Linked DNA regions of Coturnix japonica. The protein of the gene in region 2 interacts with the protein of the main gene of each other region in a pairwise test. Links are inferred from orthologs where the notes say so. Each region holds a gene or a part of one and is shown on either strand. Other genes may lie near its edges.

What was found.
Region 1: the proteins of COIL (region 2) and SNRPF interact in binary tests that used the Homo sapiens proteins (3 or more experiments, as listed by UniProt). The two-hybrid records come from large-scale screens. The link is inferred for Coturnix japonica from reciprocal best matches to the Homo sapiens genes COIL and SNRPF.
Region 3: the proteins of COIL (region 2) and BYSL interact in binary tests that used the Homo sapiens proteins (3 or more experiments, as listed by UniProt). The link is inferred for Coturnix japonica from reciprocal best matches to the Homo sapiens genes COIL and BYSL.
Region 4: the proteins of COIL (region 2) and POLR2L interact in binary tests that used the Homo sapiens proteins (3 or more experiments, as listed by UniProt). The two-hybrid records come from large-scale screens. The link is inferred for Coturnix japonica from reciprocal best matches to the Homo sapiens genes COIL and POLR2L.
Region 5: the proteins of COIL (region 2) and PDZ and LIM domain protein 5 interact in binary tests that used the Homo sapiens proteins (3 or more experiments, as listed by UniProt). The two-hybrid records come from large-scale screens. The link is inferred for Coturnix japonica from reciprocal best matches to the Homo sapiens genes COIL and PDLIM5.

Annotation. Positions count from the first base shown.
Region 1 is NC_029516.1:41,569,337-41,573,582, forward strand, and holds SNRPF (small nuclear ribonucleoprotein F), read left to right. Parts: upstream 1-2,060; 5' UTR 2,061-2,214; coding exon 2,215-2,217; intron 2,218-2,301; coding exon 2,302-2,427; intron 2,428-2,528; coding exon 2,529-2,593; intron 2,594-3,067; coding exon 3,068-3,134; 3' UTR 3,135-3,193; downstream 3,194-4,246. UniProt on the Homo sapiens protein: Plays a role in pre-mRNA splicing as a core component of the spliceosomal U1, U2, U4 and U5 small nuclear ribonucleoproteins (snRNPs), the building blocks of the spliceosome.
Region 2 is NC_029533.1:7,745,912-7,751,199, reverse strand, and holds the start of COIL (coilin), read right to left. Parts: upstream 3,148-5,288; 5' UTR 3,111-3,147; coding exon 2,860-3,110; intron 2,312-2,859; coding exon 1,216-2,311; intron 422-1,215; coding exon 335-421; intron 1-334. Other genes in the region: SCPEP1 (retinoid-inducible serine carboxypeptidase), read left to right, coding at 3,167-3,275, 3,729-3,853, 4,469-4,558. UniProt on the Homo sapiens protein: Component of nuclear coiled bodies, also known as Cajal bodies or CBs, which are involved in the modification and assembly of nucleoplasmic snRNPs.
Region 3 is NC_029541.1:4,735,199-4,740,466, forward strand, and holds BYSL (bystin), read left to right. Parts: upstream 1-1,857; coding exon 1,858-2,243; intron 2,244-2,324; coding exon 2,325-2,463; intron 2,464-2,670; coding exon 2,671-2,804; intron 2,805-2,990; coding exon 2,991-3,151; intron 3,152-3,356; coding exon 3,357-3,459; intron 3,460-3,590; coding exon 3,591-3,939; 3' UTR 3,940-4,205; downstream 4,206-5,268. Other genes in the region: MED20 (mediator of RNA polymerase II transcription subunit 20), read right to left, coding at 1-123, 1,036-1,289, 1,454-1,605, 1,750-1,859. UniProt on the Homo sapiens protein: Required for processing of 20S pre-rRNA precursor and biogenesis of 40S ribosomal subunits. May be required for trophinin-dependent regulation of cell adhesion during implantation of human embryos.
Region 4 is NC_029520.1:8,951,051-8,954,753, forward strand, and holds POLR2L (DNA-directed RNA polymerases I, II, and III subunit RPABC5), read right to left. Parts: upstream 1,848-3,703; 5' UTR 1,765-1,847; coding exon 1,670-1,764; intron 1,527-1,669; coding exon 1,418-1,526; 3' UTR 1,234-1,417; downstream 1-1,233. UniProt on the Homo sapiens protein: DNA-dependent RNA polymerase catalyzes the transcription of DNA into RNA using the four ribonucleoside triphosphates as substrates.
Region 5 is NC_029519.1:52,358,765-52,363,535, forward strand, and holds part of PDZ and LIM domain protein 5, read left to right. Parts: intron 1-628; coding exon 629-715; intron 716-1,378; coding exon 1,379-1,534; intron 1,535-2,338; coding exon 2,339-2,470; intron 2,471-4,771. UniProt on the Homo sapiens protein: May play an important role in the heart development by scaffolding PKC to the Z-disk region. May play a role in the regulation of cardiomyocyte expansion. Isoforms lacking the LIM domains may negatively modulate the scaffolding activity of isoform 1.

The DNA.
Region 1 (4,246 bases), on a different chromosome or scaffold from region 2:
ATCCTGGGCCAAAGGTAGAAAAGAATGCAAACTATTACTTCTCCTATTACATGGGGAAACACATAGAGGACAAAAGGTGAAATTCACCCCTCTGCTGAAGGCCACAAGAAGACTCACGTAAGCAAACCATCCTGTGACTCAGAATGATTCAGTCAACAAAGTAAACAGCAAATTCCTCACAGGGGGAAAAAAGGAAAAAACTATTTTGTTTCTTGATTAACCAAGTTATGCAGTTACCTACAGCAGACGCAGTCATCCATTCTGTGCTTTCAGGACATCTTTCTACCCTACCAACAGGCAACACCTCATCTGTAGCTGATGAGGTTACTGACACATGAATTCTTGCACTGATTATGAAACTAGAAGCTAAGCACTCCTACTCCCAACTATGACTCCAATACTGATACCTATGACTTTGAGAAATGCTTCTATTTTCTGGTGATTTTATAACAATAGGGCTGGAATACTTAATCATCAAATCATAGAATGGCCTGTGCTGAAAAGGACCACAATGATCATACAGTTTCAATCCTCCTGCTATGTGCAGGGTCATCAACCACTAGAATAGGCTGCCCAGAGCCACATCCAGCCTGGCCTTGAATGCCTCCAGGGATGGGGCATCCATAACCTCCTTGGGCAACCTGTTCCAGTGGGTCACTACTCTCTGTGTGAGAAACTTTCTTCTAATATCTGACCCAAACCTCCCCATCTCAATTTAAAACCATTCCCCCTTGTCCTACAACCATCCACCCTCATAAACAGTTGTTTCCCTTCCTATTTCTACCCTCCCTTCAAATACTGGAAGGCGACAATGAGTTCTCCCCGGAGCCTTTTCTTCTCCAAGCTAAACAAGCCCAATTCCCCCAACCTTTCTTCATAGGAGAGGTGCTCCACCCCTATGATCATCTTAGTGACCCTCTTATGGACCCATTCCAAGAGTTCCACAGCTTTCTTGTGATGACGGCTCCAGGTCTGGGCACAGTACTGCAGATGGGGCATCACAAGAGCTGAGCAGAGGGGGACGATCACCTCCCTCTCCCTGATGGCCACCCCTTTTTAATGCAGCCCAGCACACCATTGGCCTTCCAGGCTGCAAGCACACACTGCTGGTTCACATCCAGCTTCTCATCCACCAGGACCCCCAAGTCCTTCTCCAAGTCATGCATCAGAGGAACTGACTATATGAAGAAAAGAATGTAGCTGGTCCTGTACTTCTTGGTACACAGCTTTCCCAACACAAGTAGGAGACATGATAAAAGTTGGTTCCAAACCTAAAAAGTGCTGTTTACAGACAAAACACTCATATTGTTCTATTGTCATTCACATATACACCATTAACAACTGTCAGAAAAGTGCAAGTCTTCCATGGCCTTTAACCCAAAGGACTCATGCTGAGCTCATTGCATTCTGACGCCTTGTATGTTTTCACTCCAAGTTCTCTATTCTTTGCTGCAAGGGGCATGAAAACCGTCCATATACACGATTTCCCACATTGTTTATTATTTCCTACATATCCTCAGCACTAACTTCCTTGCAATAAACTTATAAGCAATTCTCTTTCAACTGGCGCCCAGTGAGTTTTACTGTCAGAAAGAAAAAAAAAAGCTTTATTTTAACGTTATCTCTGTTCCCCAGCCAACACATGAGGACAAACACATCCATTATAAATTATCACAGAAACAAATACGAGTGCACTTCAGATAAACATTTATTAAGAAGAATCGTAATTGCTGCTCTTATCCTATCCATCCATAAAGGTAGGGATGTGAGGGGGGACATTCTGGATCTGCAGAAGACACGGTGTGAGGCAGCCGGGGGCTGAGGGAGAGGTGGACAGGGAAGGGGAGGAGAGGGATGGAGGGGCAAAGGCCTAACAGAGCAGAGCGGCGGCACAGTGCTGCGCTGCCACCCCCCGGCCACCACAGACGACACAACCAGAGGTGGTATACGACCATTGGCTGGAGCAATGAGGAGGGCGGCCATTCCAACTAATAAGATTGAGCCCACAACCCCTTTTCCCTTCGCGCTCCGTGGCTCCGTAGCCAATCGCGAAGGCGGCGCGGCGGGGTGAGAGGTTGGAGGTCGGCGCGGCGGCACGGAAGTGGAAGTGGAAGGTATCTCAGCGCTGCCTTCCATTCTGCCTCAGCCCGCGGCGCGCACGAGGCGATCCCGCCTGGCTCTGCGCTTCTCGGGCCGCCATCGCGCCCCATCGCCATGGTGAGGGCAGGGCAGGGCAGGGTGGGGGGAGGCTGTCGTTAGCGGTTGGGATGGCGGGCGGTGCTGACCATTGCTCTCCCCTAGAGCCTGCCGCTCAACCCGAAGCCCTTCCTCAACGGGCTGACGGGGAAACCGGTGATGGTGAAGCTGAAGTGGGGGATGGAGTACAAGGGATACCTCGTCTCCGTCGACGGCTACATGAACATGCAGGTGAGGGATGGAGGGAGGGACCCGGGCCTTGCTTGCTTGTGGGAGGGAAGCAGTAGTGAGGCTCCTGTTGGTGTAATGTTTGTGCTGATTTTCGTTCCAAGCTTGCAAACACAGAAGAGTACATCGATGGAGCACTGTCTGGACACCTGGGAGAAGTTTTGATAAGGTAATCGTGGTGCCTGAGCTGGGGAACGGGGTCTTGTGGGGACTTCTGTGTCTTGTGTTACTGCTTTGTTGAAGCTGGTGGATCTAGGGGATGTGCTTGTGTTTTAAGTTGAAAGAGGGAAGATTTAGGTTGGATGTTAGGGGAAAGTTCTTTACTAGAAGAGTGGTTAGGTCCTGGAACAGGCTGCCCAGTGAGGTTGTGGATGCCCCGTCCTTGGAGGTGTTCAAGACCAGGTTGGACGGGGCCCTGGGCAACCTGATCTAGTAAATGTGTATGTTTGGTGGCCCTGCCAGACAGGGGGGTTGGAACTACATGATCCTTGAGGTCCCTTCCAACCTGGGTAATTCTGTGATTCTGTGTGATTCTGTGTATTGGAGCACTAAATGCTGCTGTAACTCCCATGTGAAGTGAACATTGTATTTGCGAGGGAAATTAAGACATTTCAACTAAGGGAGCTCTTGATTCTATTTACAGGTGCAATAATGTTTTGTACATCAGAGGTGTGGAAGAAGAGGAAGAAGATGGAGAAATGAGAGAATGATGATTTGTATATCTGGAAATAAAGGGTTTTTTTTCTTTTTTTTTTTTTCTTTTCCACAACGTTGTCATCAGGTGTTTATTTTGTTCTTGTATTTGACTATGGGGGGAGTTCACCCAGAGGCTATAAAGAGTCATGAATTTCAGTGGCATTCATAGAGCTAAAACAGCCTGTGGAATGGGAATGCCTGATCTCAATCTGCAGTATTATGGAAAGAACACACAAAACACTAACAACAGGCCACTCTTTGTTATCAGGCATCCAGATAACTGAAGTTTTGGCAGGAACATAATTGCTTTCTCAAATGTTAAGAGCAACCATTGACATTAACCGAAGCTGTTCTGTACCTATCAGCATTTCCTAAAGGTAACCATTGCTTTGCTGATGCTGCTAGTCAGAGCCTCCCCTTGTGAAGGATCTACTTGCATCTCTAGGCTGGAGAGAGGTTCTACAAGCCAAAACACAAATGGCTGTACCTCATGGATTTGTGTGTGACTTTGCGCTGTCTCATCAGTGACCATTTGTCTTACATCTATTCTCAAATACACAGGTATACTTTCAGTGCTACAGATGGATTAAATACAGCAAAAAGGCAGTGACCCAGCTGTGGAGTTAAAACTCCCCAGCACAGTAGGTGTAAACAGAACCTGCTCCCATATCAGCGTGGCTCACTGAGCTGTGGGTAGGGCACTGCAACTGTGCCTCATCTTAATGCTTCATCAGCAGGTGGTGCCATCATCATGAAAACACCTGTGTGATAGTGTTAGCTTTTCAGTGTAACTGGGAAGCTCCAGTATATGCTGGGCAGGACTGACCTGCTGTGCTGAGCTCCACCACAGTGTGCTGTGCGACATGCTTGACACATTGGCTCACACTGTTGCCGCTCTTTGATTTCTGTTTTCATTCATACTGTGATACTGGTGGGGAAGGCCAAAATAAGCAGCAGGAACTCCTGGGAGCAGCACAGCATCACCTTCCAACTCTTGTTCGCTTTTTGTGTGCCTGGTGAAGGAGAATGCTCTGAATGAAGATGCACATTGCTCGGTGGTGCGGCATTTGAGCCAACGTACCCATCATACCCCATAACCAACCTTTTGATCAAGGGGTTGGGCCCC
Region 2 (5,288 bases):
TTCCCCAGGCACAGCTCCTTCAGCAATGGGAAGCACAGAAACCAAGGCACCCAGATCCCAGTGCCTATCACAGCCTGCCAGGACTCACTGCTCTGAAGGGTTCCTGCTCAGGTCAGGCTGTGAAAGGAGATCATGGAGAAAAGTCCAGTCTCCTCAGCAGCAATTATTTCAGTTTTCTTTGCTTCTTTAAAAAAAAAAATCATTTTATTTGGAAGTGTACCTATTGATACAGGCTTTTGGCTGGCAGGACTGTGTATGGTTCCCTGCAAAACTTACAGGGCCCAAGTGAAACAGCGCTGACCTACTGACGTTCAGTACTTCCAAAGATCCTTACCTTAAAGGCAATTCTTTGTCCCACTTGTGGTGGGGCAGCTAGAAGTGGTAGAACGCTGTAGTCTCTCTTGGGGACATCCACAGCATTCTGCAAAACAAAGAGCTGCTGATAAATTCAGTCTGCAAAGAGCTGAGAATAACAACCTGGCACACGTGTGCTGGGTCACAAACAACTCCACTGAGATTTATGAGTTTCCCATAAAAGCTCTCAGTGTAACCAAGTGTGTGAATCTCACCTGGGGGGGGGGGAAGAGGTTTTAAAGGTACAGGCTAAAGAATTCAGAGCAGTGCTCAGTGAGGGCAGTTGTTCCTTGGGGTGGGCATCTTTGGGGATGGAGGTGTGCTTTGGTATTATAACGAGTGCATAATGAGCAAAGTTCACCCAAAGGACGGCATTTTGTCTAAGAATGACAGGCTGCCCACCCAGGGTAGCACATCTGCAGCTTAGTACCACCAAGTTTCCATCCATCCCAGCACTGCAATTACAGCCACTAACAGCAGTCCTCCAGATGCTGCCAACACCACTACTGTGGTTGCTCAGGGAGCTGCTGTGGATCACAGAACCTGGCTGCAGTCTCCCTCCACTCCACCTCCAGTGCCACCTGCTGGCGGATCAGCATCTCAGCTGCACTCTGCTATGAACAGCGCTGTGCCTTCATTCCAAGTTGCCCATAGCAATTATTCCACCAATACAATCACTTATTGTTTCATAAGTTCTTCTGCAGGACATATACTGCAAACATCAAATGTACCGTGTTCAGATCTATCAGCCTTTACCCTACTTACCTTTCTTCAGCTTTTCCAAATTACCCTCACGCTGTACTTAATTATACAGTTAAGGCTGTGACAGAGAGCTGGTCAATGACTGCGTAAGTCACTCACCTGGACAGGAACAGGGGTGTTTGTCACAGCTTCATCCAGCTGCCTCTGTTTCTGGCCTTCACTGCTGTAGCTATAGAAGAAGCCCGTGCTTTCTCCTCTGCCCCAGCCCCTCGCCATCCCCCGGAACCCGCGGCCCCTCGGTCCTCTCCAGAAGTTCCCCGCTCCCGCTGCACGCCCCCTCCCACGCCCCAGCCCAGCAGCCAGCCCTTGGACTCCTGCTGGTGACTGTTTGGAGCCGTTTCTTGCTATGGAATTACTCAGTCCAGCATTGGCTGCAGGTTTTTTAATGACGAGTGTTTCTGAATCGGAACTGTCGGACTCAGACTCAGAGCTCCCGGCTTTGGGAGCCCCAATGGCCCCAGTCTGTGCCACTGCTGTGCTGTTGGGCAGCGCCTGCTCTGCAGTTCTGCCTTGTGCTGGTGCTGCTCCTTCATCCTCGGAACTTGAGTCCGAATCTGAACTGGAGGACTGCGGTTTCTTAGCGTTTTTACTACCTGCATCCTTACTGCCACGTTTAGCATTCGACATTTGCTTACAAGCAGCAGCAGTCACTGCAGGTTGTGCTTTGTCTCTGGGAAGCACCATTGCTGCAGGTCTGTGTGAGGATTTACTTTGCTTTACGTTTGATTCAGCGCTGTCACTGTCGGACGATGTGCTGGAGGACTCCGACGTTCCCACCCTCTGCTTCTGGGCCTCCAGTGTCCGATTACTGGGGGTCAGAGCAGCGCTGCCCACCCGTTTATGGGCCGCCTTTGACACAGGTAGCACTGCCTGCTGCCCATCTTTTGCTTTGGCTGCCGGTGCCTTCTGCAGCCTCGGGGCTCTGCCCTTCTTCCCCTCTGGAACCATCCCGCTGTTCTCTTCCCTTCTCTTTCTCTTCTTGGATTTCTTCCTGGTGTCGGATCCATCCCCGGCGCTGTCCTCTCTGCCGGACGAACACTCTGGTTCACGTTTCTCCTTCCTCTTTTCCCTCTGATGTTTTTCCTCCTCTCGCTCCTTCTGCCGCCGTTTGTGCCTTGTTTTATCACCTTTCTGTGCCCGGCACTCTCCATCCGTCTCTTCGCACCGCTCCTCCGTGATCTCCTCCAGCGTCACCCTAAAGAGACACAAACAAACAGCATCCAGCCGCGCTCACACTGCGCTCACACCGCCCCCATATCACACAGAATGACCCGGGTTGGAAGGGACCTCAAGGATCATGTAGTTCCAACCCCCTGCCTGGCAGGGCCACCAAACATACACCTTTACTAGATCAGGTTGCCCAGGGCTCCGTCCAACCTGGCCTTGAGCATCTCCAAGGATGGGGCACCCACAGCTCACTGGGCAACCTGTGCCAGTGCCTCACCACTCTCCTAGTGAAGAACTTCCCCCTAACATCCAACCTAAATCTTCCCTCTTTTAACTTAAAACCATTTCCCCGTGTCCTGCTATTGTCAGCCCTTTCGAAGAGTTTACTCCCCTCCTGGGAGTAAGTTCCCTTCAGGTATTGAAAGGCTGCAATGAGGTCACCCCGCAACCTTCTCTTCTCCAGGCTGAACAAACCCAACTCCCTCAGCCTGTCCTCATAGGGGAGGTGCTCCAGCCCCCTGATCATCTTCCTGTCCCTCCTCTGGACCCTTTCCAAAATCTCCCATCCCGTCGTACCGCAGCGCATCGTTGTCCCGCACGAGCCGGGCGCTCTCAGTGGGCGGCAGCAGCGCCCCGTCCAAGAACAGGCTGAGCCGGGCCCGGCGGCTGAAGCCGAATCGGTGCCGGATGATGCTGAGCAGGTCGGTGACCAGCCGCGCCTGACCCGGCTCCAGCAGCAGCCAGCACAGCGCGCAGCCAGGGCTGCCCGGCGGCGGGAAATCGAACTGCAGCCGCAGCCGGAGCGGGGAACCGACAGCAGCCGCCATGTTGGGGGCAGGGAGGGGAGGAGGGACGGCGGCCTGAGGGGGACAAAAGGGGCGGGATGGAGAGAGAGAGAGAGGGGCGGGACTGGAGCTGCGGGAGAACTGCTGTGGGGATGGCAGCGGGGCGGGCTGCTGCGGGGATGGCGCTGATCGCGGCTCTGGTGGCAGGTACGGGCCGTGTCCGGGCACCCCTTGCAGTGTGTGGGCAGCGCTTCGGGGCTGAGCGGGGCGATCCCCGCTGTCCTCTCGTGTCTCAGAATCACAGAATCACAGAATTACCCGGGTTGGAAGGGACCTCAAGGATCATGTAGCTCCAACCCCCGTGTTCCGTCTCCTCGCGGTGCCCTGCGGAGCGGGGCGGCCTTAGCGCGGTCCTATGGCCCGTCCCGAGGCGGGGCGGTGCCGGCCGATGAGCTCCGCGCTTCGTTCCCCGCCGCTCTTGGTTCGTTGGTGGCCGGTCAGTCAGCTGTGGGTGTGTGTATATCTACAGCCGGGCTCCTTGTGGTAGTTTCTTAATTGAAGCCCTTCTAATTATCACACCCAAGGCTGAAACGCGATGTTCTGAGCCGGGTTCGGTGGGGCTCCTGGTGTTTCCCCCACTGACGGTCTTTCTGCCCACAGGAGCGGCTCTGGAGCCCCCCCGGGAGCTGTGGGGGTACGTGCAGGTCCGCAGCAAGGCGCATCTTTTCTGGTGGCTGTACTACAGTGCGGGGTACAACGAACTGCCGCTCGTCCTGTGGCTGCAGGTGAGTGGAATTACATCCCCCAGTCACGGTGCAGGAGCAGACGCTGCTGGTGGCTGTGATGAGCTCCTGTGCTGTGTGATTCTGTGGCACCTGCAGCCTGTGGGGGTGGGCAGAGCAGGCAGAGAAGTACAGTAAGTTCTGTAAGGGAACAACAGAGAGAAACTGACTGTCACCGTGACTGGTCCCATTCAGTCACAGCTGATAGCAGCCATCCCTGTGTGCTCTGCATTCACCTCCAGGACTGTGTTTCAGAAATGAACATTAGATGTGATCACTTGCTGACTTGGTCCTTTCCCTTCTGTGTTATCAAGGGGTAAAATGTGTGTTCTGTAAATGCTGGCTAAGAAAAATAACCCAGTGACTCACAGACTTCTGTGTTTTGGCTAATTTTTGTACTTGGGATTAAAGGAATTGGGGTAAAAGTTCTCATACGGCACCCAGCTCATAGTGAAAGACAGTGAGGAACAGAGCCTTCTCTGCAAGTTACTGAGGAGTGCAAAGGGCACTTTGACTTCCCCTATGAAATTGTGCTTACTGTGCTGTTTTGTTCTGCTCCTGTCTCCCTCATCTATGGCGTGCTGCCTCCTAACTCAGTTATTTGCTCTTTCCCCTTAGGGAGGTCCGGGATCTTCAGGCTGTGGGTTTGGGAACTTCGAAGAGATTGGTCCGTTGGACAAGGAGCTGAAACCAAGAAATACTACCTGGGTATGGCTGAGAGTTCAGCTTGTAATTATCAACTGCAAAACGTATTGCCTGTGTAAGCAGGTGCTTGCTAGGTTGAAGTGGGCACTGAACAGTTTCCATTTGAAATTCAATAGAACTATGAACCTTTATCTTAAAATAGTCAGGCTAATAACAATGGCTTATACTAATAACCTTGTTAAGAACTGAAGAGTAGGCCTGTTCATTTGTTCTGATGGAATATGTAGACCATCATGAATATGTGAACTGTGTGTGTTACTTCTGCTCATAGCTTCATTGCTTGTAGTCTTAAGGGCTCTTCTGGGTGGCTGGCAATGTATAAGCAGTGGCTGGTAATTACAAGCCTTGTATGACCTTCAAGGGAAACCAGCTGTAATTACAGCTGCCTGTGGAGGTAGAGGTTTATTCACTGAGCAACCAGTAGCCTTAATTAGTTGGGAGGTCCCTGGGTCGCATGGGTGAGCTGCCCTTGGATGGCTGGGAGTTCTGGTTGCCTTTCCTGTTGCACATTGGGCAAATGGAAGGACCTTGCACTGTGTCTCTTCTAAATAAGCCTTACTGCTTTGAGTCCTCCTAACATCTGTGTGTGGATCCCTTGATTTTCTTTGTGCACTTGTAACTGTACAGCTTAGCACCATCTAATAGCTTTTGCTGCGTTCAGGCAGGCAGAAAGCCCACCTGTACCATTTGCTGTGTTTTTCTGTGGCTTCTTCCAGGGTTGGGGTGCAGTGGC
Region 3 (5,268 bases), on a different chromosome or scaffold from region 2:
GCTGTCGTGTTTGGTGCCAAACACAGTCGGGATGCCGGGAGTGTGGCTGCCCATGAAGCTCTGCATGAACTCCATCAGCAGGTTCCAGCAGTCGTTGGCGATCACACAGGGGCAATACTCCACCTGGCAACAAAAAACAGCCCTAAATGAGATATGCATCAAGAGTTTGAAGCCAGCAAACACCTCCTCTGTACTGCACTGCAGAGGGATAACAGTGCTTTTCAATTGAGAACATTGAGCACATAACAGCAGAAGGACAAACATGTGAACAGGACACACAGGGAATGTGCAAACCAGCTCCTCAAAAGAGAAGAACAAGAAAGGGAAATTTCCCCTTTAGGTTCATCCGTCATTTTAAACCCCCAGCAGTGGAAATCCAACGACAAACTTCTCTCCCAAGAGTCGCTGTTAACAGCCTGTGTGGCCACGACATCTCTCAGATGTGTGATGATAAAGCCTTGGGATTTAAGGACTTGCGGTTCCAGACCAGGGATTATGTACTAATGGACACCCAGAAAACAACCTACTAAACCAAAGCAGAAGCAGCCGGACTGCCAGGAAAATCTGGTCCTGGACTCAAGCTTAGGGTAAAACAAGCTTCTCTTTAACCCCAGCTCAGCAGCAGCTCGCACCACTACATCTGTGTTTATTCTTATGAAGCAAAACCAAGGCATTTCTCAATCCCATCCCTGTTAGCTCGGAACACCTGCCTGGGTAGATGCGCCATCATTATTAATTACAGACCAGTTAATAGGATTTGTGTGTTTAGGGAAACACATGCTCAGATTTTACAAGACCTTTCAGCACCTCATCTCAGATCTGGGGCAGCACTGACAGCACAGAGCTCTGTGACCAGGAGAAAGCAGCTTTAGAGCCAAAGCTGCAGCAGGAGGGCATTGAATGCATTAATACAACCTGCCAGCAACGAGTAACACAGATGATACATGGAAGGGATGGGGACTCAAGGTTTCTAGCCAAGCCTCCAACATGGGATTTCCCTGCCCTGGATTTCATACCCTTAAAGGTGATTCTCACCTCCACGGATATCCCGCGGGCGCTGGGGCCCATGGTGACGGTTCCCACCTTGACCAGGAAGTCGCAGTACTGGTACCGCGTGCCCCGGCTCTCGATCTTGTTTGCCTTGGCGTTCTGGAAGAATCCCTTCAGCTTCACCATCAACGTGTCGAAGTTGGCGTCCGCGATCAGGCAGGGCCCGTTTTCAAACAGAGCGAAGCAGCTGAGGGGATACTCGGAGTTGTGCATCACGTACATCAGTTTGCCCGTCTGCCCTGAAAGAAAAGCAGCGTTTGGCCCGTTCCTTTGACACCCACCCTTTAAACATTCGTATGGGTTGATAAGCGCCCCCAGCCCCTCTCAGCCTTCTCCTCTCCATGCTGACCAGCCCAGCAGATGCCCCATGTCCGCACTACACCCGCCCCCCCCGGGTTCCCACCTTGGCTGCTGATGGCGGCTGCCGTGTGATACGTCTCACAGTCCACCCCGAACGCTCCGTGTTTCTCGGCTCCCAGCAGCTCCAGCTTCTTGCTCAGCAGCTCCACGGTTTGCTGCACGCTCTTACCCTCCAACACGGGCACCTGCGTCACGCTGCGGGGCGACAAACAGCAAAAATGGCCGCGGGGCCTCCACAAAACCCAAACCCAAACCCAGCCCCAACCCCATCACCCCATCACCCCATCCATCACCCCATCCATCACCCCATCCATCACCCCATCCCCACCGGCCCCTCACCAGGTCACCCCCATGGCTCCGTCCCGGCAGTGGCGGTGCCGGTACCGGAAGGGGCGGGGCTGGCCGTGCTGGCGCCGGCGCGTCTGATCGCGTGTCGCTGTTGCGGCCATGCCGAAGGCGGCGCGTGTGGCGGAGCCGCTGCACGAGCAGATCCTGCGGGCTGCGGCCCCCACGGTGCGGAACCGGCGGGCGCGGGACGCGGGGCGCGATGCGGAGGAACGGGACGGCGGATACGTGGGGCCGCGGTTGTCCCGGCGCATCCTGCGGGAGGCCCGGAGGCAGCAGGAGGAGCTGGAGGCCGAGCACGGCCCCGGGGCGCCCGCACCGACAGCCCCGAGCGGGCGCGGGTCGGAGGAGGACGATGAGGACGAGGAGTGGCCGTCACTGCAGCGGGCGGCGGAGTGGGACGGGACGGGCGGCGGGGGGGACGTGCAGGTGGATCCCGAGGACGAGAAGGCCCTGGAGATGTTCATGAACCGCGCGGCGCCGCTCAGGTACCGGAGGAGGGGTGGGAATGGGCGGGGGGTGGACGGGGAGCTCCGGTTCCCCATCACCGACCCCTGCCGCCCCCCCAGGCGGACGCTGGCGGATGTGATCATGGAGAAGATCACGGAGAAGCAGACGGAGGTGCAGACGGCGCTGTCCGAGCTGTCGGGCCGCCCCATGCCCCAGCTCGACCCCCGCGTGATAGAGGTGTACAGAGGCGTCAGAGAGGTGAGGGCACTGCGGCCCCCCCGGCCCCACACACACCTTTGTGGGACCCCCCAGCTCCCGGCGGAGCAGTGCAGACAGCACTGCTGTGTCCCTCGGGTGTTGTGAGCACATACGTGCTGTGTGAGCACACGCAGTGGAGCTGCACAGGGAGCAGACAGGTTGCTTACAGCCTTGAGACAAACCCTTCCCCCTCTGCTTCCATTGAAGGTGCTGTCCAAATACAGGAGTGGGAAGCTCCCCAAGGCATTTAAAATCATTCCTGCCCTGTCCAACTGGGAGCAGATCCTCTACATCACGGAGCCCGAGACGTGGACGGCAGCAGCGATGTACCAGGCCACGAGGTGGGACCAGCTCAGTGTGCTCTGAGCTGTTGTTTTCTCCTTGTAATGGAACGAGATGGACAAAATACCATCGTGTGTCCTACAGCTGCTCCTCCTGCCCTGTGCCTGTGGAGCAGAGGGGATCCTGATGCTGGGGGTGGATGGCTCTGGAGTCACAGCTCACTCTTCATGCTTTGCATTTCACAGGATATTTTCATCCAACCTGAAGGAGAGGATGGCCCAGAGGTTCTACAACCTGGTGCTGCTGCCACGGGTCAGAGATGATATCGCTGAGTATAAGCGCCTCAACTTCCACCTCTACATGGCTTTGAAGAAGGCTCTGTTCAAGCCAGGAGCCTGGTTCAAAGGTAGGGGCTCCCTGCAGGGCTGCACTCCACCCCTGGGAACCTGCTGCAGGGCAGGGCAGGGGGAGGAAGGTGGAAAGGTGCCCATGATGCAGAGATGTTATTTCCTTGGGTTAAATGTGCCCTGAGAGAGCAGAGATTGAGCCTCACACCCCACAGCTCTGCCTGCTGCAATGACCAGTGGTGCCCAGCTCTTCTCTCCCCACAGGGATCCTCATCCCCCTGTGTGAATCGGGGACCTGCACACTGCGGGAGGCCATTATCATCGGCAGCATCCTCACCAAGTGCTCCATCCCTGTCCTGCACTCCAGGTAATGCACTGGGGCAGTCACTGCCCCTCAGCCCATCCAACAGCTCAGAGTGGGGGAGCTTTGCTCAGGGCTGATTCAAAGCCGTCCTTTTTGTGCCCTGCCCTCACCTGCTGCTCCCCTTGTCCCCACAGTGCAGCCATGCTGAAGATTGCTGAGATGCCATATAACGGTGCCAACAGTATCTTCCTGCGGCTGCTCATCGACAAGAAGTACGCGCTGCCGTTCCGTGTGGTGGATGCCCTGGTCTTCCATTTCTTGGCCTTCCGCACAGACCAGCGCACGCTGCCCGTGCTGTGGCACCAGAGCTTCCTGGCTCTTGCCCAGCGCTACAAGGAGGACCTGTCCTCGGAGCAGAAGGAAGCTCTGCTCGAGCTGCTCAAGTTCCACAGCCACCCACAGATCTCAGCCGAGATCCGCAGGGAGCTGGTGAACTCCAAGACACGGGACGTGGAGGGGCAGGAGCCGGCAGTGATGGAGTGAGGGGAGGAAGGAAGGAAGCACCACAGCCTGGCCTGGCTCCTGGGGGCTGCTGCACAGCTGGGAGCAGCACGTCCAGGGGTCTGGGAGCATCCAGCCCTGGGATCCCACTGCTCATGGTGCTGTAACCACGGGGCTGGGCTGGGCTCCCTGCGCTGCTTGTGTCAGGGCAGCCCTACAGCCCTGGCACCCAGGACAGCAGTAGGGCTTGTCCTGCTCCTGTTCTGGAAAATAAAGCCCGTGCTGGGTCCTTCCTGGAGCAGCTCTGACCTGCAGTTGCATCTTTGTGTGGCTGCATCCGTGCATCGTCCTGCCCTGTCCCCCTCCCCTCGTCCTGTCCCCAGCAGGGGGCAGAGCAAAGCCACCAACAGCGGCTCCTTGCAGCACTGCGCTGCAGCTGTCCCGGCTGCAAAAGGAGACCAGGGGCTGTGCAACTCCCTGCCCTCCTTGTGCTCTGGTCAGCAGCGAGCACGTTCCCAACTGTGCTGTGCATTAAGCAGCCTCTGTGATGTTGGGCAGAGGGGCTGGGGTTAAACATCTTCCTGTGAGAGGTGGGGGCAAGGGGCAAGGCCATAACCCACACGTGGCAGCTGCCTTGAAGTGCCACCTCTGCTGTAAAATCCAGCGGGGCATCGCACAAGGCTCCGCGCTTACCTGGGTGCTCACCTGGACACTACAGCTCCTGCAGATGTCCAGCTCCTGTCCTTGCTCCTGGAAGCATCACGGCCCATGGGGAGCAGTCCCTGAAGCTTCGTGTAGTGCTGAGCACCTCCTGGCTCCGTGTCTCCCCGTGGAGCAGAGCAGCACCTGGGGCTGCTCACACACTGCAGCCATTTTTTTTTAATCTTGGCTTCCTGGTTCATATTTCCTTTCTTTAAAAAAGCCAGAAGCTGATAAGAAGAGAGATCGGCCGAGCTGCCAGCAAACACGCAATGCAACGCGCTCACCTTCCTGCTGCACAGCCCCGTCTGTGCAGGGAACAGCAGCAAAGGGAAAGCCCTGACACCGCCGTGCTCCTTTAAAATACTTTATTGCAACATTACACGGTACTCCAACTTTCCCAGCAGCAGGACTTGCATGTGAACACCACAACAGATTACTCTTAAATTAAAACTCACTCATATATATATATATAAAAAAATCTGTTTGTACAGACGCTCCTCGCAATTCATCGGCGGTGAGAGCACAGCAGCCCCAGCTTTTTCCACCTGATAAACTTGTTTCTGGTGGCACCCAGAGCAGGTTCCCCCCCAGGAGCAGTTCAGCAGCTGCTCTGTGTGCAGGGACACCCCCAGCAGCGGCTCTCTGGCTATTCCTGGTTAATATGAGTCT
Region 4 (3,703 bases), on a different chromosome or scaffold from region 2:
ATGAAGCCTGCTTTGTTTTTGCAAATTGCTTCTTCGTTATAATGTTTTAGAGTCACAGCTTTTCTTATCAATTAACTTAACCTTGTGCTGGTATCTGCTTTGCTTTCAGAGTAAGAAACAAAGCTCTGTTGGCTCTCTGATCCTTTGGTGCTGATGCCTGGCCACCTCAGTTGGAGGCAGCGGTCTGGGCTGCTGTGCTGTCTCAGTACCTGGCATTTGGAGCTTCCTGTGTGCAAGTTTACATGCATCTCCACATAATGCTCTGCTGTAACATGGAAAGGTCCTACAGGATTTTAGCTGGAAACAGTCATCTTATATTTCATAGTGTCCCTTTTTAAAGACAGCCAGAAAGAGTTGTTATTAAGTGAATTTTGTTGTGTAATATGGCAGTCACACAGAACAAAAGCTATCCCGCAAACTGAAGGGGATACTAGAGTTGCTTAATTCTCTTTGCATTAGGCTGAAGTATGTGGTTTTAGTGTCTTTGCAGAACTGCTGAATATGAGAAAACTTAGCCACTATCCCATTGTAATAAATGGAAAAGTTAGATCAAGTGTAGAGATTGGTAGGGTAGTAGCTATAGCCAGAGGCTGGCTGTCCTCTAACTGTTCTTTCTGAGACAATCTCTTCTTGAGGTTTGAGCAGAGAAGTCTGATCCAGCAAGCAGTGGAAAGGTGGGTTGTTTTGGCCAGGCAGTCCCAGGCTGCACATACATCCTATATGAAGCCAATGAAATGACTGACAAGTGGGAAGCTTGCACTCATACCAGCAACAGAGCAGTGCAGGTGTTTGGCAAGACTCTGATCCTGTTCACAGTTACATGCATTAATTCTCACATCCATTGCCTTCAGATGTATTTTACCTAAGTGAGGAGCACTGCGCCACCTGATTTACTGTTTTCTGTGATGGAGCTGCCAGTCTGCCCCAATTTTTAACAAGACACTATAGGCTGACTTCAGTGAAAAAATGAGCTCCGCTAGCACTGCAACCTACTAAGAGTAATGCCTCATTCATAGCAAACAAACATCCTCTGTGCTGTTTCTGGAGCCTGGAACTTTGCTCTCTTTCTAACCCCCCTTGATTGCCCTAGCTTCAAACACTGTATTTCTAACCTCAAAATGACCACTGTGAGGAAATAGTGAGATGGAAGTGTATGCTGAACTCTACCCAGCAACTCCAGGAAGGCCACAGGCAGAGGCTTCCTCTAGTTCAACATTTTACATAGACAAATGATTGTATTTCATAAAACACATTTATTTTTTACGGGCAAAAGCATCCTAAAGTTCACAAAAAGAAACCAATAACAACCTGTATGTAATTAAAGAGAAACATCTACATATGTAAGCTGTAGCTGTGAAGTGGATGTCGGCCTTCATTTATTTCCTTGGGAGAAGCTGGTGGCTGGGTCAATCAACTCTCATTTCTCCAGCGGTGCGTAATTCAACAGCTTCTCAATCAGATCCACGTGTGCCAGGAGCATCCTGCGGCAGCAGTAGCGCTTCAATCCGAGGGCATCCAGGGCATCTCTATTAACAAATAACAACACGATTAAAAGAAATAAATACAAAACGAGTCAGAACCGCTCGTAAGTGCTCCTAAGCAACGCAATGATTGCTCTGAGCTTAGTTTAAAGCAAGGTATTAGCGTGTGCTGTTAATATGACACCCACCCCTCGGTGTACTCCGCCTGCAGGAGCCCGAGATACGCCTCCCACTTGTTGCCCACGATCTTGCCGCACGTGAAGCATCGCACCGGGATGATCATGGTTCGCACAGCGCCGCTTCCTCCTGCAGCTGCCCGAGCGCAGCCCTACGGCCGCTCCCACTGCACCGGGGGGACACGGGCGGTGCGAGCCGTTCTTGCTCAGCCGTGAGGATGCAGAGCGGCGCTGGAGCTCCCCCGTTCCCGCACAGGACGGCGGATGGTAGCGGCCGCCCTACGGCTCCTTGCGCGGCTCAATAGTGTTTGCGAGCGGGGCGGGCTGCTGATCGCGTTTCGCGTGCGCGGCGCGTGGTGGCAGCCGGGGCCGGCGGAGCGCAGAGCGGAGACACCGGCGGGGCGGGCTGAGCCGAGCCGAGGAGGCGCCGTGCCCTTCCCTCCCTCCCTCCTTCCTTCCTTCCGCGCTCTCACTTGTTGCTTTACACCCGGACTTCTGCAGAAGGCACTTCTTCATCGCGTCCTGCTCGAGGTACCGCAGCCGCGCGGGGTGGAAGCGCAACTGGTGGCTGCAGCCCGGCGCCAACCAGCGGGGCACGGCAGCGCTGTGGGACGGGGCAGCACGTCGCACTCCCCTCCCTTTTCCTCCCTTTTCTTTCCCTTCCCGGTGCGCGCACTGGTAGCGCCAGGCGCGGTCCGTCTCGCGGCTGTGTTGGCGTCCCCAATTTGGGGCGGTTTGCTCCGTGTCCTCGCTCCCCTTTGGAAGGGGAAGGAGCCGGGCAGGGGCTGCGCTCCGTGAGCTGCGCTCGGCGCCGATTTGCGCGGCGTTGCCCGCTCATTTGGAGGAAGCCGGGCTGCGGAGCGCTGCCGTGGTCAGCGGGGTAAGCGAGGTTAGCGGTCCCGTGGCGGCGGCAGGTCAGTCGGGAGTTGCTGAACTCCGGGTCTGGGGGCTGTGGGGGGTGATGTGGGGGGGTTCAGGGCTGCCCGCTGTAGCGTTCCTCGGTCTGTCGGCGAGCCGCGCGCAGCGAAAGCAAACGGGGCATAAGCCGTCCTTGAGGCGCTATCCCGCTCCCCGGAGGGTGGAGGCGGCCGTGGCACCGCGAGCGTCGCGTTGCAGCTTTACTGGCTGCCCCCAGCCGGGGAAGTTGGGCTGCAGCGGGGGATGCGTCGTGAAGCCGCGTGCGATCCTCCCGTGTGAGCGTCGCGCGGAGTGCTGCGCTATGCGATGCTTGTAACTTGAGGGCGGCACGTTGCTGTTCGGGACAGACTGGGTTAAAGCGTCACCCCGAGCGCTGTCGGTCCTTAGTGCCCTCTTGCTTCACGGTTGTCCTTGGGCAGAGCGGGGATGCACCCAAAATACTGTATTTTGCTGCTGGAGCATCTGCGAGTTGATACGGCGCGCGGCGCAGAGCCATTACTGTCAGGCGTATAAAGTCTTAATGCACAGCTTATGTTAATACGCCTTTCGTGCCTGTGTTTTGGACCGCTGGGTTGCTGACCCTCCGCGCAGACCTAACTTGAACTGTAGAGGAGCAAATAGTTTCGTTTTAACCGGCGAGGTTGTTTGAAGGAGGTTTTGCAAACGTTTCCTAATGAAAAGACAGCGATTTTTGCAGCCCCGGGGAGTGATTGCACTCAGCTGTGTGCAAGCAGCACGGCTTGGCTTGGAGGGTGGAGAAACCTCCTGCAGATTGTTATCGTTATTGTTGTTTCAGGCCAGTGGGAGCCAAACTCTCTTTTCTTTTTCTCCTTTGCTTTCTTTTCTTTTGGGGGAGGGAAGTTGAGAATTTGGAGACGATGCTTTGATGTGTTTTCAGCACCAGGGCTCCAAAGCAATTTTCTTGTTGAACTGTGACGTGCAAGGCGTTTGTATTTGGAGACAGACATTTGCTGATGGGAGGGAGAAAGGATGGTGGTGGTGGGGTGGGGGGTTATTGTTGATGTAGGCTGGATTCGTGCAGCTGCCCGGAGGAAGTGCTCTTGTTTAGCTTTTAAAAACGAAAGCAGGTTTTAACTTTCCCACCCAGTTCTCACATGCAACTTTGCA
Region 5 (4,771 bases), on a different chromosome or scaffold from region 2:
CTAGCAACTGGAATATCTATTAAGCAAAAACTGAAAAAGTAAATCAGAAATTGGAGTGACCTTTAGATGGGGGAAGATAAGTTAAAGTTATAGACCGGAGATTTGATAGGAAGGTGACTGTTTTAGGAAGTTGAAGAAATCATTCACCTGCCTTTCAAAGTTTTGTTATCTGTGTTATAAAATGTACATTTCTGATTTGTCCAGTAACCAGAAAGTTCTGGAGCAAAGTACAGGCATTGACTTGTGAAGTGGCAGAGCGTTAATTATTCCCAGTAGTTACCAATAGTGAAAGATGGCTTCCCTCACGTTCACCCCTACTCCTTCTGAAAGGAGGGAGGGTAGAAGAATTAGAAGATAAGACTTTATTGGAGTGAGCACTGGGAAGGGGGATACGTGTATGTGGGTTCATTCAATTGCAATGAACAATTTGTTCTACCCTTCTAACATGCAGATTAGCACGCTAGTACTTAATAATTAAGGATATTAAACCATACCTGTTTTTTTATTGGCTCAGGAGTGCTTGTAGAAATCCTTAAATGAACTTCTCTTGAGCTTTAGCTAACATCTCTAGAAGTATAATAAGTATCTGATTAATTATTTCGTTTTTTCTCCTACTGCTTTTGGGCAGGCATGATGCATCTGTGCCTACTTCCGAAACAAATGCTTTTGGTATTATCTCAAGCTGTCAGTCTAAGTCATCCATAAGTCACACAAGGTAAATCTTTCAAGGCATAGCTATGGCAGACTGCTTGGGGGTATGCATCATTTTCAAGCAGAGATTTCTGTGTGTAAATCCAAGAAGGACTGTAACATGTGGTTGTATAAATGGAGGTATTTGGAGTCTTCTGTTAATTTTTGAAGTGATTTAAAAAATACACAGCAATTCTGTGGCCAAAAAAGAACTTGAATTATATATCACCAGCATAGAGCTGATGTTCCTTCCAACGAGATAATAGGGGAAATGCTAAGGGGTGGGAGAAGCGTGCTGCAGTTCTATCAACATTTTTAGTGTTTATTTATTCTAAAAATATGGAGTGAACTAACTGACTTTTAGGACTTTTACCACTGACACCATAGAGAATTAGTCATAGGCAGAGGGTTCATTGGGAACAAGCTGAGGGTGACGTGTAGCCTAGGGTGGACAGCTGGAAAGCTGGTAGGTGCTGATCTCTGACTTGATGAGTGGAAACTTATTTGTAGGTAAAAGCAGAATTGCTGTTTTCTGTGTTAGTGTTGAAGTTGCTAATATGTTGCCCTGAAATCTTTGAGAGCTGGTAACCTACGGTAGCATCACTTTCCAGTAGTTAATGCTGTACAGTATTGTACTGTTTCTCTGTCAATCTTTTCTGCTTTCTTTGTTTTCTCTGTTGGTTCAAAGCTTGTGTGCTAGAACAGTATTTCTGGGAAGTACTTCAGGAAGTCCGGCCAAGCTTGGAACTGCTCCTGTTCCTGATTTTTCTCCTTTTAAGCAGAGATCAAAAATTAAGAGTATGGCTGCTGCTGCCGTTTCTGCTGCCATTGCTGTCCATGCCAGGTAGAGATCAGCTCTAAAGGGAACCTTTCATAGTTTGCTTTAAGAATGTCTAAGCTCTTTCACAATACTGTGGTAGGCAAGTTGTCAGTATTACCACAGCTCCTGTGTCCTTTTATTTTAGCTCCAAAGTACTGCTCTGAATCTCGATTCTCTTCTCTTCATGGACATCCGTGTTGTGGTTCAGTCAGTAAACCGACTGAAAATAACAACTGTTGTACAGATGACAAAGAATTATCTGCATCAGTCAATAGCTTTTGGATGCTGAAGACTACAACTGGAGAGTTGAATCTAAATCTTTATCACATTGCTCTTCATAAGGGATTACTTATTTAAGTGGTCTAAACTTTGTTGACCATGCACATCAATCAGTAATGCATATATATAGATATATATGATTTCTGAACATGCATTCCTAATATATGTATATTTTCTTAATTACTAAACTGTATACATGACATGTGCTAATGGATTGTGTGCGTTATGGAAAACACACAAAGCCAGAATAAAAAAAAAGAAAAGAAAAAGAAAAAGAGGGAAAAGATTAAATAAACCTTTAAAATATTTTATTAAAAATAAAAAATAAAAGATAAGTATATTTCCCATACTGTGGTGAGTTTTCTTGCACACTGGAGTGTGTACACACCACTTTGGAGACCACCTATTTGAATAGCATTTCTCAGTTCAGTTTGTCCATACTGCTGTAGAACCTGAAGAAGTTTACTTGGCTTTTCAGCTAATCCTAGCCAACCTGATTGCTGTTCAGTCAACTAATTTCTATACGTGGTCTTTTCAAATGCTTGTTAGGCTCTCTGATCCTAGTGCCTACCGCTTGCTCTTGGATGCCCTGCTCATCACCCCTGTCACTAAACCTCCTCTGCAAGCCAGCAGGCCCTCCAGGAAGTCAACAAGTGCTCTGGAGCTGACAAAGAACAAGAGGTATTGTCCTGGTGTTTCATGTGGTTGACACTGAGGACTTGTGAAGAACCAGCTTCACCTTCAAAGCCTGTTTCTGTTGTCTGCACATTTTCAGCAGTCTGCCTGTTGTGGTCTTTGGCACAATGTCCCCAGCCCCAAATCCTGTTGGTTTCACCTGTTTGCAGAACTAATCTGCACCCTGGTCCTGCCAATGCTATTTGTATAAATCTACCATACTAAGTGCAGGTGGGCATCTGGTGCACTTCTGAGAGGCATGGTGCTGTTTGTGTTGTGGTGGTTGGCACTGTCACTAAATAGCTGACTAGAAAATAAATGGCACACTGGCTCGAAAGCCCTATCTGGATGAATTATTTGCAATGTTTTCTTGGGCAAGCAGGCTGTATGTTAGGCTAAGAGTGCTCCTGGAGCACTGCTATTTTTCAAAGCTCGTTTTTAACGTATGAAATCAAATAACTGGCATGTGGTGCAGCAAATAAGTCCTTTAAAAATTATTTGCTGTCGAGGCTTTTTGTTCCAACTCTGATTCTGTTCAGTGCACAGGACATTTTGTTCTTGTTTCCTGACCACAGCTATTTTAACACCAGCTCCTGTGAAAAGCTGATGCTTTGTAATCGACTTCAGCCTCAGAAGGGAAAATCTTTGGTGGATATTTTAAAGGACAGTACGTATTAAGCTGTTCTGAGGGAGACGTAATCTGTGGATTTTCATGTGTTTACTTGTGTTTTCACAGGAGTAACTTCAGGAGATAAGGCTCAATTAAAGATAGAGCTTGATATAAAATAAATGTGTTACGTATTAGTCATTCACCTCTTTCATAGCTTCCAGGGTGACTTGAGTCACTGAAGAAGGTTAACTCAGCCCTGACTTTTGTGAGGAAAGTGGTGATATTTGACACACCAAGATAATGTTAAGCTGTATCAAAATTTCCCTTTTTTGCCTGTTCCCAAAGAAAAATTCTCTGTAGCAATTCTGATGTCTGTGCAACACAGACTAAGTCCAAGACATGCTGCCAGCAAGACTTTATTCTTCATCTGTGTTATTTGCTGCTACTTTAGTAGAGCAAATAAGGGTGGTGAAAATTAATTCTCTGACTTTACTTTGCTCACTGATGTTCTGTGTTTGTGGCATAAGCTGCAAGTGAAGTTAGCTTGTTAGAACAATGTAAGCATTTAAGTTGTTGACTGTGAACCTGGCTTTGTTTATCCACTTTTTGCTCACAGTACAAGTAGAAACTCTCCTGATTTAGGAAATGTACTTTTGGAGATGTAAGTGCATAAATAACCGGTGTTGATATAAAGCTTGTGCACAGCTTACTCGGGTAACAATGTCTGATTTCCTTGTCATCTTGAGCTGTCAGCTGCACTTAAGGAAGAAGAGATTGCCACTAGATGGAGCCATAGAAATGAGGCTCTGCGATGCCGCATCATAACTAGAGAAAGAGCACAGTCTCATTGTATAGACTGAATTACATGTAGCAAAAGTGGAGGTAAAAAGCAAATTATGCTTACAATTTAACATCTGTATGTATGTATTATCCCATAAGTTCAACACAGAGCATGTAAAAACAATTACATCAAAAGAAGGAAAATGTCAGATTGTGAAGAAATGAATCCACGTGCAGGATGGATATTAAAATGCTTTTGCATTACCATCAGTCTAATGACATATTGTAATGTCTGCACAAATACAGTGCTGAAAAGTTGTTTTGAACAACAACTCACTTAATGCCACAATGCAATAGCTGGTGTGTGAGTAGAGCTAAAATCTTATGTCCATAAAGAGATGAGGGTAGGGCACTGCATAATACACTGACTTGTTCAAAAATCAACTGGCACAACCAAGACAGACAAGGTAAATAAGCTTCAACAACTTCAAGTTTTGCGTTTTCTAGCTGTATGTTAAATACTTTTCTCAAAAGGGCAATGAATCTATTTTACTGAGGTAGCTTATGTTTGCATTGTCTTCAGGGAAAAAGTCAAGATGGTTGTAAAGGAACCGATGTCTTTAATATCTTGACTCTTTAAGAACTGAAAGTTTTCCCTAAAACTAAACCACTTGGCAAAAAAAGTCAACCCTGAAGTTTTCAGAAATGTTAGCAAGAATAGATTTAGATATGGCTTTTGCTTTAGGTACCAGACCCAATGCCATGTACAATTACTTGAAAAGAAGATAGTCTGATCCTTTGGGAGAATATTTATTCTGAAAGAAGTTTTGTATTCTTTCTCTGCAGACCACTGCATACGGAAGGGTAACATATGTCCTTACTGTAACTTGATGTGGAAATATTTCTGCTCACATGGT